3 linked regions of the Neodiprion lecontei genome follow. The protein of the gene in region 2 binds, or shares a complex with, the protein of the main gene of each other region. Links are inferred from orthologs where the notes say so. Each region holds a gene or a part of one and is shown on either strand. Other genes may lie near its edges.

The links.
Region 1: the proteins of NEDD8-activating enzyme E1 catalytic subunit (region 2) and NEDD8-activating enzyme E1 regulatory subunit are in contact, whole or in part, in a crystal structure (PDB 3DBR), measured with the Homo sapiens proteins. The link is inferred for Neodiprion lecontei from reciprocal best matches to the Homo sapiens genes UBA3 and NAE1. Residues at the interface, in NP_003959.3 of Homo sapiens: Trp34, Glu35, Gly36, Arg37, Trp38, Asn39, His40, Lys43, Phe44, Glu46, Arg47, Ser48, Gly49, Pro50, Phe51, Thr52, Phe56, Glu83, Lys86, Asn87, Leu90, Ser91, Val106, Ser107, Leu109, Asn110, Arg111, Phe113, Leu114, Arg116; in NP_003896.1 of Homo sapiens: Glu10, Gln11, Lys12, Tyr13, Asp14, Arg15, Gln16, Leu17, Arg18, Leu19, Trp20, Asp22, Glu44, Lys47, Asn48, Leu51, Pro52, Gly67, Glu68, Ala70, Gly71, Asn72, Asn73, Phe74, Phe75, Gln77, Arg78, Ile81, Phe92, Glu95.
Region 3: the proteins of NEDD8-activating enzyme E1 catalytic subunit (region 2) and NEDD8-conjugating enzyme Ubc12 are in contact, whole or in part, in a crystal structure (PDB 2NVU), measured with the Homo sapiens proteins. The link is inferred for Neodiprion lecontei from reciprocal best matches to the Homo sapiens genes UBA3 and UBE2M. Residues at the interface, in NP_003959.3 of Homo sapiens: His53, Pro54, Asp55, Glu61, Ser62, Phe65, Cys70, Gln149, Asn152, Asp153, Thr154, Arg157, Gln158, Phe159, His160, Ile170, Arg173, Trp174, Ser181, Leu182, Leu183, Asn184, Pro192, Ile195, Val196, Pro197, Leu214, Met217, Arg254, Met255; in NP_003960.1 of Homo sapiens: Lys3, Leu4, Phe5, Ser6, Leu7, Lys8, Gln9, Gln10, Lys11, Lys12, Glu15, Lys21, Gly22, Ser23, Ser24, Lys25, Lys26, Ala27, Gln31, Leu32, Gln35, Lys36, Ile38, Asn39, Glu40, Phe51, Ser52, Asp53, Pro54, Asp55.

The regions. Positions count from the first base shown.
Region 1 is NC_060261.1:43,619,328-43,624,634, reverse strand, and holds NEDD8-activating enzyme E1 regulatory subunit, read right to left. Parts: upstream 3,691-5,307; 5' UTR 3,557-3,690; coding exon 3,489-3,556; intron 3,288-3,488; coding exon 3,123-3,287; intron 3,007-3,122; coding exon 2,824-3,006; intron 2,746-2,823; coding exon 2,250-2,745; intron 2,180-2,249; coding exon 2,046-2,179; intron 1,984-2,045; coding exon 1,781-1,983; intron 1,704-1,780; coding exon 1,567-1,703; intron 1,442-1,566; exon of another isoform or gene 1,311-1,441; coding exon 1,080-1,310; 3' UTR 676-1,079; downstream 1-675. Other genes in the region: probable small nuclear ribonucleoprotein Sm D1, read left to right, coding at 1-44, 183-380, 550-632; tryptophan 5-hydroxylase 1, read right to left, coding at 4,797-5,151, 5,223-5,307. UniProt on the Homo sapiens protein: Regulatory subunit of the dimeric UBA3-NAE1 E1 enzyme. E1 activates NEDD8 by first adenylating its C-terminal glycine residue with ATP, thereafter linking this residue to the side chain of the catalytic cysteine, yielding a NEDD8-UBA3 thioester and free AMP.
Region 2 is NC_060260.1:9,429,684-9,435,338, forward strand, and holds NEDD8-activating enzyme E1 catalytic subunit, read right to left. Parts: upstream 3,717-5,655; 5' UTR 3,526-3,716; coding exon 3,278-3,525; intron 3,169-3,277; coding exon 2,808-3,168; intron 2,639-2,807; coding exon 2,309-2,638; intron 2,217-2,308; coding exon 1,827-2,216; 3' UTR 516-1,826; downstream 1-515. Other genes in the region: coronin-2B, read left to right, coding at 4,400-4,519. UniProt on the Homo sapiens protein: Catalytic subunit of the dimeric UBA3-NAE1 E1 enzyme. E1 activates NEDD8 by first adenylating its C-terminal glycine residue with ATP, thereafter linking this residue to the side chain of the catalytic cysteine, yielding a NEDD8-UBA3 thioester and free AMP.
Region 3 is NC_060266.1:5,034,704-5,038,872, forward strand, and holds NEDD8-conjugating enzyme Ubc12, read right to left. Parts: upstream 2,425-4,169; 5' UTR 2,285-2,424; coding exon 2,182-2,284; intron 2,094-2,181; coding exon 1,999-2,093; intron 1,767-1,998; coding exon 1,560-1,766; intron 1,036-1,559; coding exon 895-1,035; 3' UTR 674-894; downstream 1-673.

The sequences.
Region 1 (5,307 bases), on a different chromosome or scaffold from region 2:
GATAGAACTGAAAAATGGCACCCAAGTTCACGGAACTATCACAGGTTTGTAAACATAACCTATGCCATTTGACTTGACACAATCAAATCACAGTTGGAATAGCGTACAGAGCAGGCCGCTTCTCTTTTGTCTCCAAGTGAAATAGTTTTTGCAGATGCATGACAAAAATGTTTATTTTTAAGGTGTGGATGTGGCCATGAACACCCACTTGAAAACTGTGAAGATGACGATAAAGAACAGAGACCCTGTACAACTCGATACGTTGAGTTTGAGGGGAAACAACATTCGATACTACATTCTGCCTGATTCCCTTCCCTTGGAAACTCTGCTTATCGATGACACGCCCAAGGCTAAAGCAAAGAAGAAAGAAGCCGCACGAGGTCCTTATAGTCATTCAAGTTTTGCGGCCTTTATGATCAATTTTATTTATGTTTTAGTATTTTCTGTGACTAATCTTCCTTGATTCAATTTTCGACACATTCAATCCAGACTTTGCAATAGTATTCTAATACATATCGATGATTTCTAATCCTTGTTTTTCTGTACTAGGTGCGGCTCGTGGAAGAGGCCGTGGTGGACGTGGCGCTAGAGGTGGACGTGGAGGTCGTGGCAGAGGAAGAGGCAGGCGATAGTGTTTGAAATAGTTGATCCATTGATGATTTTTGAGAAACGTAACGAGGTGTTGTATTCTGCGATTTCTCTTCCCACGCACCTCGGTGAATTACACCACTGACCAACGTTTTATATTCTTAAACAAGTCTAATACCAATGCATTCTAGTTTAAGTTCGATAAAAACGTTGATATCTCACAGACATGAAGTTAGCCTGTAAGCCTTATCTGACGTAATAATAAAATGAAATTCTTTTTTTTTTTTTTTGTCAAAAATCAATCATCAAATCTTTTTTATACACAAAAGCATTTTCGTATTTTTAATTTAACGATATTCATTCATCTTTTGGCGTGTGTTGCAGACTAGGTAATTTAATGCTTAGCCAAGTTGTATGGAAATAGTGAATTTTATTTCATGATTACGTGATTATAGTATTACGCGATAGTATTGCAAATTTTCTATTACTATTCAAATAAAGAAACTAGCCGAATTTGACGTTACCGCGTCGTATATAAAAGTGTTGTGGATCGGCTTGCATTGATTAGTTATGAATTTTATAGTCTCCTGCGCAGCTAGCCCTCCTAAGAACGCCGACACCGAATGTAGTTCAGATCCGCCGTAACGGCAAAATTCATGGACGTAGTCATCCTTTGCCAATGGCCCACAACCCCACTCCATCAGCAATTTTGAAATACAGGCCTGAGTACACATACAAACGTAGAAATATGTTAGATATTATGAAAGCTTTGTTTCTATTGGTATGGTGGCCCTAAAAACAGATTTGAAAATTCCTGTGTTGTCGAGAATCAGAATTAAACGATTATAAAGAATATACTTGGATCTAATCCCAATTCTGTTCGCACACATCCCAAATGTGATAAGTTATCGCTAGTTGAAACATACTCTACTATTTACAAATTTTAACTTTGCTCTACGCTAGGCTTTGAAATAGTACCTTAAGTTTCACAATATCTGGTTCAACGTGATCGTCGAATTCGCCTGGATACGAATTGTATTCCACCTGGAATTTTTCGATCCCTCTGAGTACCACGTAGTACACCATCATACTTTCAGGATTTTCTAGACTTTGAGCTAAAAGAGTCAACATTATTTACATGAGCTATATACAGCTGAAAGTAAAATATGAATGAAATGAAAGTAAGGCGTACTCATTTCGCTGGCATCCACAGTTTTTGGATCATACTCATCCGCTATACAGGATCCCCTTTGAATGTAAATGTTAGAAGCATGTCTACAAAATAACTTGACATCTTTTTCTGTTATCGCATCCGAGGGGCGACCAATCTGTCTGAGCAAATGGACTGTTCTTCGCCAAACTGCTTCCGCATCTGCTGCGGCTTGTTTGTGATACCTGAAATTTATTATACATTGAGATGTCCGTTCGGCACTTACATTAAATTCACGTACACTCACACTTGTTGCAGGGATATATATTTTTCTGTATCTGCCGTCATGTCTGGTACAGCACCTTTGAGTGGCAATGAATTTGAACCATCATTCTCCATGAAGTCTTTTACAGCCTTGGCGATAATCCAAAAAGGTTTACTCTAAAATTTTCATCATTATGTTTTGTCCGAAATGTGTCGAAGTGCTCAAACAAAAAAGAAACGATACTACCTTGGCGGTAAGGTTTATACAGCAATCGTCATTCAGGACCTCCATGACGCTGGGAGGTACCTCGTAACGTCCAACGCTGGTATTAACAGCTTTGATTGCTTCCTCAAAGTTTTCCTCATCAATAGGATTATTGTGCTCATCTTTTCTAATACCACTCCTGATCATATCTCTTAGCTGCTGTTTCTCCTTATAATTTTTTGGTACATCCCCATTCTCAGATATCCACTTCTCAAGGTATTTGTACAGAATCACAACATATGGAACGTGAGTGTGATCCTTCAGGTCCAGTTCGTCCAAATTTATTGAATCAAAATGATTTTTCAATGTTTCAAACGGATTGTCCAATCGCAAATCAGGTGTCTCGTTGTCCGGGTGAGTTTCTATGACAGTATGTTCTCTGGTCTGAACTCGCATGTACGCGATAAAGCCCAGGCTTCGGCAGACTATCAACGGGATGTCCAGGTCCCACAATATTTTTGACAAGCGAATTAGACTCCTGGAGGCAACAAGATATAGTAAAAATATGGATGATGATCATCACTTCAAAAAAAGGTAGCAAAATATTGATGCATACTTCTCTGGGAGTGCAGTAGTGATAACGACGGTGAAATTATTGAAAAAGTCCGGGCTATTTGATAAGATTTGCTCAGGGCCCTCGTCGACGTAATCGCCACGTACATCGGAGTTTAGTTCAAGAAGAACTTGAGTAGCTATTTCTGCCCTTGATTTTCCAACACTCTCTGAATCTAGAAAAAAACTGATGAAATTATATTAATTACAATGCGATGTTCACTGTATCACGCATTCCCTGGAGTGACCAAACTTTAATCTTAGCATCGAAAATACAAACAAATAATTGAATGAGGGACTGACTTCGCTCCAATATCATCGTCGCTGATCTTCTTGCTGTCGATTATTGTGAATGCCCCAATACCAGGCAAGACGAGGGATTTCAAGATCTCGGTACCCAGCCCGGTTGCATTTATCAAACAGACGTGGGCTCCTTCGAGGGCAGCTTGTCCGTGGTCCCCCCATAACCTGTTATTTGAAGCGATGACTTATTTAAAGGATCATCCGAGAGATGCTGCTTCTCAATTCAGTAAAATGTGCACATTTACCGAGCAATTCGTACATATGAATCAGAGGCGAGTTTACATTTTACCAAATTAAGCCACAGGATAGAAGTCATAATTCATTTTAGGCATAACCTGAAATATCGTGCGATAAACATAACCTCACCTTAGTTGACGGTCGTATTTTCTCGTTCTCTCGGATTGTTCAGGCGATTTCGGGCTTGGCGATGCCATTTCGCGTACATCTAATTAATCCGCTGCTGACTTTGGTTCAATTTCACTTTGTAAAATCATTTGGTCATAAACGAAACGTCGAAGTGGCAGATCACTTACTTTTTCGCCACTGCGACAACCCGGTCAGATGGACGGCGAACGTTACGTTCGAATTTCAAAATTTGAATTTGACGCGCGGGAATGCCGCTGCGAATTGTTGAAGGCAACAACGGAGTTGTCTAACAGTAAATCATTTGTCGAAAGAAAAATGGTTAGATAAATGTATACTGTCCGATCGGATGATTATTTTTGCTGTTTATTTTCCGAAAACTGGTGGATGATGAAAATAGATGTTATAATATATGAAGAAATAAAGGAAATAAAGAAAATAATAAACGAACTTAACTTACATGAAGTTGGTTGCAAGTCGAACTGACAGTATTTATTGGAAAGCACACAACACATATTTCGTAAACTTTGCATATTATGTAGAGTAAACTGATTTCATTCTTAATTCTTACACACAAAGTGACTATCGGTGCCTATAATTCTTAACTCACTCGTTGCTAGATGAATATCCATTTTCAATGATTCAAAAATACCGTCTCATCGTCGTACGAGTTGCACTACGTAATATTCGATTGGAGGAAGAAAAATTGACACATTAATAACTCTTCATTCTTGTAATGGTCTAAAAGATCTAATTTTGTTTTTAATCGATGACCCCTTGATGCTCGGTACGAAAATAACAGAATATACATTTTTCCGACATTTTTGAGCGTACAACGAATAGAAATAACGAAATGAAAATTATTTCCACACTGAAACCCATTGTATTTATTACTAAATAGTTTACTACATCGCGACTCTATTAACGCCTGATTCATGGATACAACGATATTGTTCGATATACATGTAATAACACACGTCTGATTTATTTATCATCAGACATAGAGATTCGTTTGTATGCAGTGGTGCCATTTTTTTCTACGCTGTTATAACATATGGAATTTTTCATCAATGATCGGACATCGATTCGATCTTGAGGAACGTACGATTCTTGCACTCTAACTTTGACAATCTGCCCGGTCGTGTTTCGAAAATCGACGAAAAACTCCAGATACTATCATAACTTACAATTATACGCAATATATTTATGCATTATAGAATTAGCTCAAAGCGCTGACATGCGAAATAAATAATACATCAATCAGACACGAATAAAATTGTCAACGGGCTGCAGTGAGTATGGAAAGGTCGCTTAGCGCTGCCGCGAAGCAAGGTTCAGATGCGGATGAAACTCGGCGTCGGTTTCATTCTGATCATCCCGGCCTCCTCGAGGCTCGTCGACGTTGGGGCTCCTGTCGTCCTCATCGCTATCGGATGATTCTTGGGGAACGTCGATCCCCTGGGTGAGAAGACTGGTGATCCTCTCGACGTCGACCGTCTCGTCTTGTTCGTGAATCTTGCGCAAAGCATTCGAGACTATGCAGAGGTCGCCGCGCAGTTCGCTGACGAGAGCCGTGATCTTCTGCGCATCCGTCAAAACCTCGACGGACTGAGTGTAGGGGTTGTAACGTAGGCCGAACGGGCGTTGGATCTGATTAGCGAAGGCTCTGAAAAACGGGAATAAAACTTGTCTTTCTCACAGCTAGGTTCCTCGCTCGGGTTACCCGCGGCGTCATACCTCATCTTCTCCTTCGCTTCCTCGATGCTCTCCGTGTAGTAATAGGCGTTCTGAAAGGCCGTTATGATGCATTCCTGCTTGCAGG
Region 2 (5,655 bases):
CGTATGGTAGAAAACCCGGTGTATCTTCTACGAATGTATTTCTGCCATTTGTATGGGATAATTAATAATTAATTGTTTGAAAACGTTTAATCCAGCAGTTTGACATTCATCAAATTCACGTCCTTCATCTAGCAGTGAAAACAATGTCATGCAAAATCTATTAATCGTAAAATTTCACAGAGAAATCAAGTTTTATTTTTACTCTGCTCTTTTTTACAATTCGAGAAACAATTTTTCCGAAAAGTAGACGAGAAAAAGAAAATTCCTTGTCGCTGTAAACAAGTGTTTGGGGGGGCATCCGAATTACCAAGAAAAATATGAAATTTATGAAATATTAATATTATGTAATAACTAATAGTTTTATATAAGGATGATAGATAATGTATCTATGTTATAGATATTTTTTCTACTCGAGTTATGCATATTGTCGGATGTTAACGAGTGTACTTGTGAAACCAAATTGTCTTGAGCTGATGTGCACGGTCCTTCCTCAGCTTGAATTTTTTCAAAACTAATCATGTGGTCAGCTTGTCATTTCTAATTTTGGTTTATTCTTTAACATGCTTAGAGCCGTAATTTGAAGACGTTGAAAAAAAAGTTACTTCATCTGACTACAAATTGAACTTGAAGCCATTCTGTATTCATAACTATGGATCTTTGTCACATTTATGCTTGAAGGGATGCGGAAACCTGCAATACCTGTCATTTGAAAACTTTTTTAGTTTTGCTTCTCAAGGAAAATTACAAAAATTCGTTACTAACAATTACAGGCCACACGTTTAACTATTCGATAATTTAACTCACAAATAAATTTTACTACTATTAGTAATCTATAAAATAAAAAAAAAAAAAACATCCTACTTTTTTAAAGCCGAATCTCTTGTACTTCGACACTAGAATGTTGCCAGGAAGAATTGCCCAGTGAAATGGAAATTTTCATCACTAATTTATCGATGGATCTTGTCAATTGCCATCAATAAACTGTGCAGTGAGTTTGATCATGTCTGTACTTTTTTTTTTTTTTTTTCGTACAACCAAATCTAGTGGATGAATGGAATGAGATGGGAAATGTTAAGTGCAGGAAGGACAGTGCGGTTCGCCCGTATGGCAAGCAAACAAAAAAAAATACAAAAAATTCTACAATAGAAAAAAAAGTAACAAACAAACCTGGTGATGAGCGGAATAAAATAAAATAATATGACAAGTGGATATTGATCCAAATGAATGAAAGTATGTAGGTTTTGCTAGATGCGTATTTTACCTGACCAAGTAATTATTGTATATGGTCATTTTTCATTTTCGTGTAGAAACATAAAAAATTTTCAAGCGTAAACACCGAACATGCTGTTGACAGTAAGAATACTAAAGCTAATGAATCATAAATCAAGCAATTTACACCTATTATTAACTTTTATTAACAATCATTTTTATTCTGTATTACTTGTTGGTGATAAGTTTGCTACAAATCTACCACCTCTAAACCGGGGTGAGGATAAAAATACAACAATTTAGAACAGTATTTGTACTTATTACCTTTACGTTTTCTTTCATTTTTCAAACTTCTATCAAAAATGGGTGCCATAAAAGTATTTTATAAATTTAGACAAAAAATATATAGGTATATATACATACACGTATATCTTGTATCTGGTAAGTGTAAACAAAAATTACTCTGCAATCTAAGTGTAATGTGATTTCTTTTTTTATTTTTTACAAAAATTTAAGGTTTTTAATCAATTTACATATAAATATTTTAGGATTCAATGTATAGATAATATTTCTCCTATCATATGATTATCATGTGCACAAAAGCTATCCGATGAGAGCTATAGCATGTCTATATCTGTAGTACTAGTTGAGAATTTTAGTTTCATTACAACTGTATTTGGCGTTGTACTGTCAGCCACCATTATTTCAGATCCATTTCTTAAACCCAATTCAACAAGGGATCTGTTCAAATTTTCTCTAGTCTTCTCCTCGATACTAGCTACTGTTTGCATGTAAAGAGTTTTGTTTTTTCCATTGACATTTGCAGTTATACCAGGATTTTTCATCTGCAGATCAACCCTCTCGCATAAAATTGCTAGCAAATCTTTCAGCTTCAGTGTCGAATTACTTATTTGTATTTCTCTTGGGATCTGGCTGCAAGCTAGACAATCTTCCTTCTTCTCAGCTTCATATGTATAAGTGTAAATACCGTCCAAATCGTTCAATACCTAAGAAAGTTGAGAGCAAATATTCGAATCTTGCTACATAAATGGAGTATTAGGAGCTGAATGACACAAGTAAGAATCTGTTCATTAATTACCATGTAATTGTTCAGCGATGAACAACAACTGGTTGCTAGTTTGAATACTTCTGTACTACATGACGCAGCAATAACTGCATTGGTAGATGCAACGGCGGGAATAATATTTTTAACAACACCTTGAACTAGTCTATACGTCAGGCCTTGAATACTGAATTGAACAGCCCTTTCGTTTGATTTTTCATAGATCCAATTTATATGCTGCGGATCATCCCCGTCGATAGGGCAATCAAATGGGTTTTCTTTTGGCCATTGCATTACTTTTACGTACTCTATGCAGTGTTCGGGTAAACGTGGTGTGTTTGCTATTGTGCAGAGCGGATATGTAACCTGTTGAACAAGCATATTCCTGTTTCAGATTTCATGTCTTAAGGAATCTGACTTCAAAGTTTCTTGAATGTTGGAAGAAAAAATGTCTGTTATCTTAATGAAGTATAGGATGAAATGTAGTAGTGACATATAATATTTGAGAAGCAATCCATGTTTTGGAAAGCTTTACCTGTGGAGGATAAAGATCTAATGTACACTCGATACAGGCAGTCAGGCCAGGCAAAATCACCCTGGCATTTCCTTTAAATCCTTCCGTACCTCCATCTATCATTGGAATGACACTAGACTGATCCAATTCTCCATCTTCGTAATTTAACAGAGATATCAACATGCCGTTAATCCATCGTCTGGCAACAATAGAGTCCAGGCCTGAGATTACGATGTGAAATTGTCGATAGAACGCCTCATCTTTGTCTTGTATTTTACAAAAGTGAGGTATGACATGGCACCCGGGTATTCGTGTGTTTATAAATTTTGCTGCAATCTCAGCCTTTGAGGCGCCGATATCTTTCTGACGGAACAAAAACTGCCTGTTTGTGATAAACGAAAGAAATCTATTATAAACGAAGAAAAGATGATAGCTTGTTATTTCAGAATTGTGGAAAAAAACATATTCATAGGTTATCATACGGTATCTACCTATTGAGGTTGGAAAGTTCAATAGTATCCATATCGATTAAATGAATCTGTCCGAATCCCATCAACGCCAAATCTTTGAGAAGTTCGCAGCCTAATCCTCCTGCTCCGATAACTAATAACTTGCAATTTTCGCTTAAAAACTGTAAAGTGTTCGGCGAGGGTTCAAAGTCGGGCCTGCAAAACGGCCCGGATCTTTCCAAAACCTTTCGCAAGTGACACCATTTTCTGTGCGCGTAGTCTGAGCCCATTTTTATTCTTAATAATATTACAATAATTGAAGAAAGCTACTGTTTTCAACAAATGTATTTCGTCGAAGACTCCCTGATCTTTTAAATTACTTGCGGGTTTTCAGGATTTGAAATGATTCGAGTGAGCTTTGACAACTGGTCACAGTCACGGGTGATCCGTTGGATCTGCAACACCATCGACACCAAAGATCTTGTTGCGTGGCTGCAACAACGGCGTAAAAATTCGTTACGCGCATCGTGATCTATTCAATCCGCATAGTCTATGACCGAGGGATAAATAAATATAAGCACTGAGCTCTGAATAACAGTCGACTAGCGGATCTGTGTACGAATTCTTTTCCCCGGTTATACGAACAAGCGTGATTAAACAGCAGTTATCTCATCTCCCGCGTGTTGAAGTGCAAGTTATCAATACTGTATATCGTGAATGTTGAAATAGGAAATTTATATACATCGATGAAAATATTTTACGTTGAATCAGCAACGGTTTGTGTCAATTTCTTAATTTCTTGTATCCTTATAGGGAAATGTCAACCGTCCCATGTTGCGTAAAGTGTCAAGTGACGCTTGTCCACTTGCGAAGACATAAAAAATCGATAACAAAGCATGCTTGTTTCTTCTTACTGTTCGGTTTTCCGACACTGTCACGATACATTTATTACACTTATTGCCTAACCGGCGTGCGAGAACGCTAATTACTTCAATTGAAGTCATCGGCGTGTCAACACGGACAATTTATTCTCTCCGTTATTATTTAACGTCACGAAGCTTTACGTCAAACCCAGTATACAATATAATTAAGCGGCTCCACGCTGTTTATTAAACCCGGCTTTCCTCTCTTGTAGGAAGAAATATTTCAAAAAATATACGAGACATGCATCGGTTTAAGGAGAAGCTAAGCGATATGCTAGAACACGAAGGAAAGGAAGATTCTCGCAACCCTTCAAACACTAACGCGATCGACATTCGAGCCTGTTATAAGCCTAGCGAACGAGTGAGAATATTTTCCCTACAGTACAAAAATTTTTCCTTTGCATTTCAGTTATTGCTATTACAATTTACTGCAGTCATTCAAATTACGTGATTATAGATAATTTTACAGCCTTCCGATCGATCATTTTCCGTTACATCTCTGCTTTGCTCCCGCGTTTTTCGCTTAAGCATGTGTATCACATTAGATTACATTTAATTCTAATCTCTCCCAAGTAATTTTCCAATTCAGAAGTATAAACAGTTTTTTCACACCTGATTTCCTATCCGCTCCGTTTGCAGTGTTTAAATTGGTCATCAACTGTTTACACTGGTATGTACATATTTTGAAAGAAAAGCATGTGATCCGTAGGCAAATTTATATCAAGATTTATTGGTCAGTCGCAACGTCAATATTTTCCTTAAACTCTGTTTTGTAAGAAAACAAAAGCGAACAAAGTTTCATTCATAGCCTATGTCGACTTAAGTTTCACGAGGAACGCGGATAAACACCGACGGCTTTGGTACAATTTTACACGGTCGGTTGAACGAAAAAATCGATGTTTTAATCCAACCCAACGACGACTAAGAAATTTAGTAGCGTCGAGTCAAAAATGTAACGAATTTTTTTAATAAAAAAACTTTCTCCCTAGCTCGTAAGACTTTTACCACGGCGAGCAGCGAGTTGCAGAGTTCGATGACCTCTTATCTCTTCGTCACGTTTCGCCGGATACAATCGCGAATCATTTCCGTGTACGGGAAGACTCGATGATCGGTTATACCGCAGACTGTGGTTTCACGTCTCGAACCAAACGCGACTTGCAATAATTTTTTAACCACATTATTTCCCCAGAGAAAGAATCTGCGAATATGCGCAATCAATCGCTCTAGATCCTGTGTAACTTAGACAAATAGGCCTAATTCTAGAAGCGATTATCGGAAGGAATAAAGATAACGTATTTCGGAGACGCGCCGCGTTGTCTGTTACAACGGAATATTCAATTAGCAGTGTTTTGTATTCGTCTTTGCAGCCTTGTTTCCATGCCTTATCGTATTCTACTATCATCGTAGGTGTAACATCGCCGTTGTTTCGTTCAATACAAAAGGTCATACTTCTCCGCATGAGCCGAGGTATTGTAAGGTGAATATAACGAATGTTCG
Region 3 (4,169 bases), on a different chromosome or scaffold from region 2:
GCTACCATCGACCAGTTGTTTTGCATCCCATATAAACTCGGGGGTTCTATTATCTAGCAATCATAGAAGACTTTTTATTGAGATTTGTATGGGTCGCAACCTACATACTGACGCAATAAAGATATGTCCGGTCTGAGCTGATTACTTCTATCGTCGCTCCTTTGGAAGTATTCAGGTAAATTTTTATGGTTCATAAAATTGCGCTACTTTAGCTCGATGTACAAATCACACTTTCGAAAGATAGTTAAAATAACGTGCGATGTTTTTAATCATTTTATTTCATCGACGATGTAGAAGATGGACAGGTCCACCTTTCGGACATCCTACTTTGAAAATTAATGCAATCGTACATTCGCCCTTTTTTCTATGTAAATATTCTACTCAACTTTTACAGTCCCCGCTCTTTGAAAACTCAAAGTCTTCGTTACATCCCGACCATCGACCGGTTGTTTCGCACCACTTATAAACTTATATTCCAGCTACTAAAATAGCCAGCACTGCTTTCAAGGTGTCCTTCTGATCGCTATTGAGAAATTCGAAACCTAAGATCAGCAGCTTCCACCTTATTGCATCTACCCACTTTTTAAAGCTTGTGCAGTTGCTGTTATTTAAACGACGCAAACTGCCTGTCAAGGAAATTTTTGGTTTCTTCTATTTAGTGAACTATACATTGTGAAGATTTAAGTAAGTTTATTAGCCAAAAGCATAAAATACTTGATGGATTAAATGTTTGGAGGCCTGGCAAGACGTGAAGAACGTAAATATGTATAAAGCAGACACACAGGTAACCGTTAGAACACTGTGTTCTCCTCCATTTCTCCAGTCTCTTGGTATTTGTCCTCTAAGTCTGAGTCTTTGCAGGATTGTATACAGCATTGGTGAGGAGGCGGTGTATCACTTGAGACACCGTTCAAAATAAAATGACCCTACGTATCCACCTCGCATTGCTTTCACCACATTCTGTTCGAATACTCTTCGATTATTTTGTAACACCTCTGCCGCATCTTTGTTTAAAGGATCTTCAGGATTCGGTTCCTAAGTAAAGAGAAAATGAAGAAAAAATAAACAAACGAGAGGCATAAGAATAAAATTGTAAGATTTATTCATTAGTACAATCTAGTTAAAAAAAAAAAAAAGCTCCAATGGACAATAAAAATAAAATAATGATTCAAAAGGTGCAACCGAAGTTGATTCGAGTGAAACTGAATTGAAACCTTGTCGACTGAGAAGTTCAAGGAAAAATCTTCGGTAGATGATTTGTGGGAAACTTATTTACATGCATAATATATGTAACAAATGTACCATAAGATGTGCAATAATCTGACTTTACTAAATCTGTTAATAACAGTTTTTATCCGAGAGATTTTGTGTGAACAAAACATACTTTGATCGACTTCAGTTGCAAGGTTGAAACTATTTTAACTTATCCAATTTCTTTGGTTCGATACTTTTCAGCCTAAAATATTTGCCCAATATATTGTCAAGATGTAAGTTTTGGAAATACATGAAAGTAAGCACATTGAGTTCAGAGACGCAAATTCAGAGTGTTCAATACTTACCAGAAAGAGATACTGAAGCCCGTAGACAATCGAGTTTATTGTCAATACAGGTTTCCAATCTTCTCTAAGAATATTCAGGCAGACATTGCCTTCCAGGTCAATGTTGGGATGATAAACCTGCGTTTCGCACTTTACTTTAGGTGGTTCGTGTGGATAGTTTGGACCGACCTTAAAACTGAACACAAATCTTCCGCCTTTGTAGAAACCCTAAGAATAATTATAATGCGAGGTGAATACTTTGGCTCATTTGTCAATCGAGCGACGAACAGAGAACAGAAGGAGATACAGGCATGAGCGATCTGCGCTGAAGTTAGCACAGCTTAAAGAATCGCTACTAAGTTGCTGCAGTAGAAACTTGACTAACTGAAATTTTGGTACGCAACAAGTAGCGACAGGATGATGAAAACAACTGAGAATTTCTGAGTGGTAAAATACGTACTTCGTCAGGGCAGATTATTAGTTTAAAAGTCAACAGGTCATCTGGATCTGGAAATTCTGTGCCGCATGTTTTTGGCAGGTTGAGTTCGTTTATATCTGAAATAAAAATAAGGGAAAGATTATTTTAAATATTTCTTTCACAATCGTATCCCGTTATGTGATAAAAAAAATGATAAATCGCAACCTTTCGTGATCCTTAACTGCGCTGCTGAGGCCTTTTTCTGAGTTCCTGTCCTTGGTGATTCGCCATCTTTTTTCGCTTGTTTTAGTGAAAATAATTTAATCATGTTAGATTCTAAGTTCGGCTACAATATAGCGAGGCATACAAATACTTTTTAAATTCAAGCAAAATCACAGAAGATTAAAAAATTGGAACCTACTAATTTTTGACAAGGGGGATAACTCGCCTTTCGGACCGTGCTCTCCCCTGGCTATATTCACGCTTCGCGAATATTCCACCATATAGTTAAATTCACGTCTTTTTAACCACAAATACGAAAATTAATTGACCTTGATCACTTTCGCCGGCTATTTTCTGCTCACATTTATCGCAAAAAATCAACGCGATTCCGTCGCGAATGGCCAGATACCTTGTTGAAGGCTTATAATTAAAAATTTTCACCGTTTAACGGCTGAACGCTGAAAGCTGGTAGATTGGTTCAGTCGAAAATAGCGCCACTGCGACCATCTCCTCATTGGATAAAAAATTTTTTACTCCAAGATCCGTATTTGAAGTTGTTCAGTGAACGTAGACACTTTGGCGATGCGTGGCTCCATAGACTTATAAATAATACTAACAGCGTGAACTCCGCTTCTAAACATCGCCATTGAAATCTCTGTTACTTTGACGTTGAGTAAAAAAATAGTGTAATAAATTCGCGTTGCGTAGACAGTCTTGCTAGTCCACGTATGCATGGAATAGCGTGGCCATAAGCAAGGTCAAAAAGGTGTAACGAATCTAGCAGCCGAAAATAACGTACGAAAATGACGTACAGCATGTTTACTCTTCTACATATATCATATATTGGCACATATCTGTAGGATTGCATTGTTTTCGCAGAGTAGACAGTTATAATGACCAATCGCGATGGCGTTAGGTAACCGCTTCTCTCACTTTCATAGGTTAATATTTTAACATATTTCTTCGAAACAATTGATAACCGTTCATATCTAATAAATGGTCAAACTAGGGTACAGATAAGATTAAACAAATGCAATAATATATCAAATTGTGATCCGCTGTAAGAGACATTCAAATCTTAAGCTCTGTTCAAGATTCCGCGCAGTCACGTGTTTTTGAGTGAAGTCTGTCGCACCGTGGTTGGGTGAACCTTTCACTGTACGAAAAAAAGAAGAAAAAAATAATATATATATGTTCTTTGACATCGGTGCATCGGGAATTGTCGCGGCGATGAAACGAAACGATAGTAGAAAGTAACTGTAATAATGATATTGTAGAGTACCGATGTTTACAGTGTTTACGTAGAGTGTGTAATGTGTCAGTGATAATCGAAATTTGCACAACGATGATGTGGTACGTGTAATACGATATATACATGTATAATATCGCCTTTGTCAATCTATACGAATATTTATTTAACGAGAGATGTTACTATGAGTTAATTGCACTCGATTCTTAACGTTTTAAATTGTTCGAAACGAACTATTTATGATCTATTAATTCAGCCGGAGTCTGTTTAATGTGGCAACCGAATCAGGGTAAATATTTAATTTTCCATAACGCTTAGCCACGGTCGTTGATAAATCCGTTGATAACGTTTTAGTGCTCTATAAAATAAACTAGGGATTGTTGCAGCGTTTATTAATTCATGTTACTTGCCCAACTTCGCAACTCTCCTCGACGAGTTGTTGTAAGTACGTTAAATTTAGTTATAAAAATAGGTTTAAGATTTCACATAATTTCATTTGCTATCATATTCCTTTGTTGCGCTAATCTTTGACTTGATGAAAAAACTTACTATGACAATTTCTTTTACCATTTTGCTGGCATGCTCGATCACTGAAAATACATAAGGATGAAGTCATCAACGTACCGTTACTGTAAAACGACGTATGTTCAGGAAAAATGATTTTCCAAAGTAAATAAACCATTGTAAACAAAATATATTAGTATTCTGAGAAGCCAACTCCTTGAAAGTCATTCTCAAATAT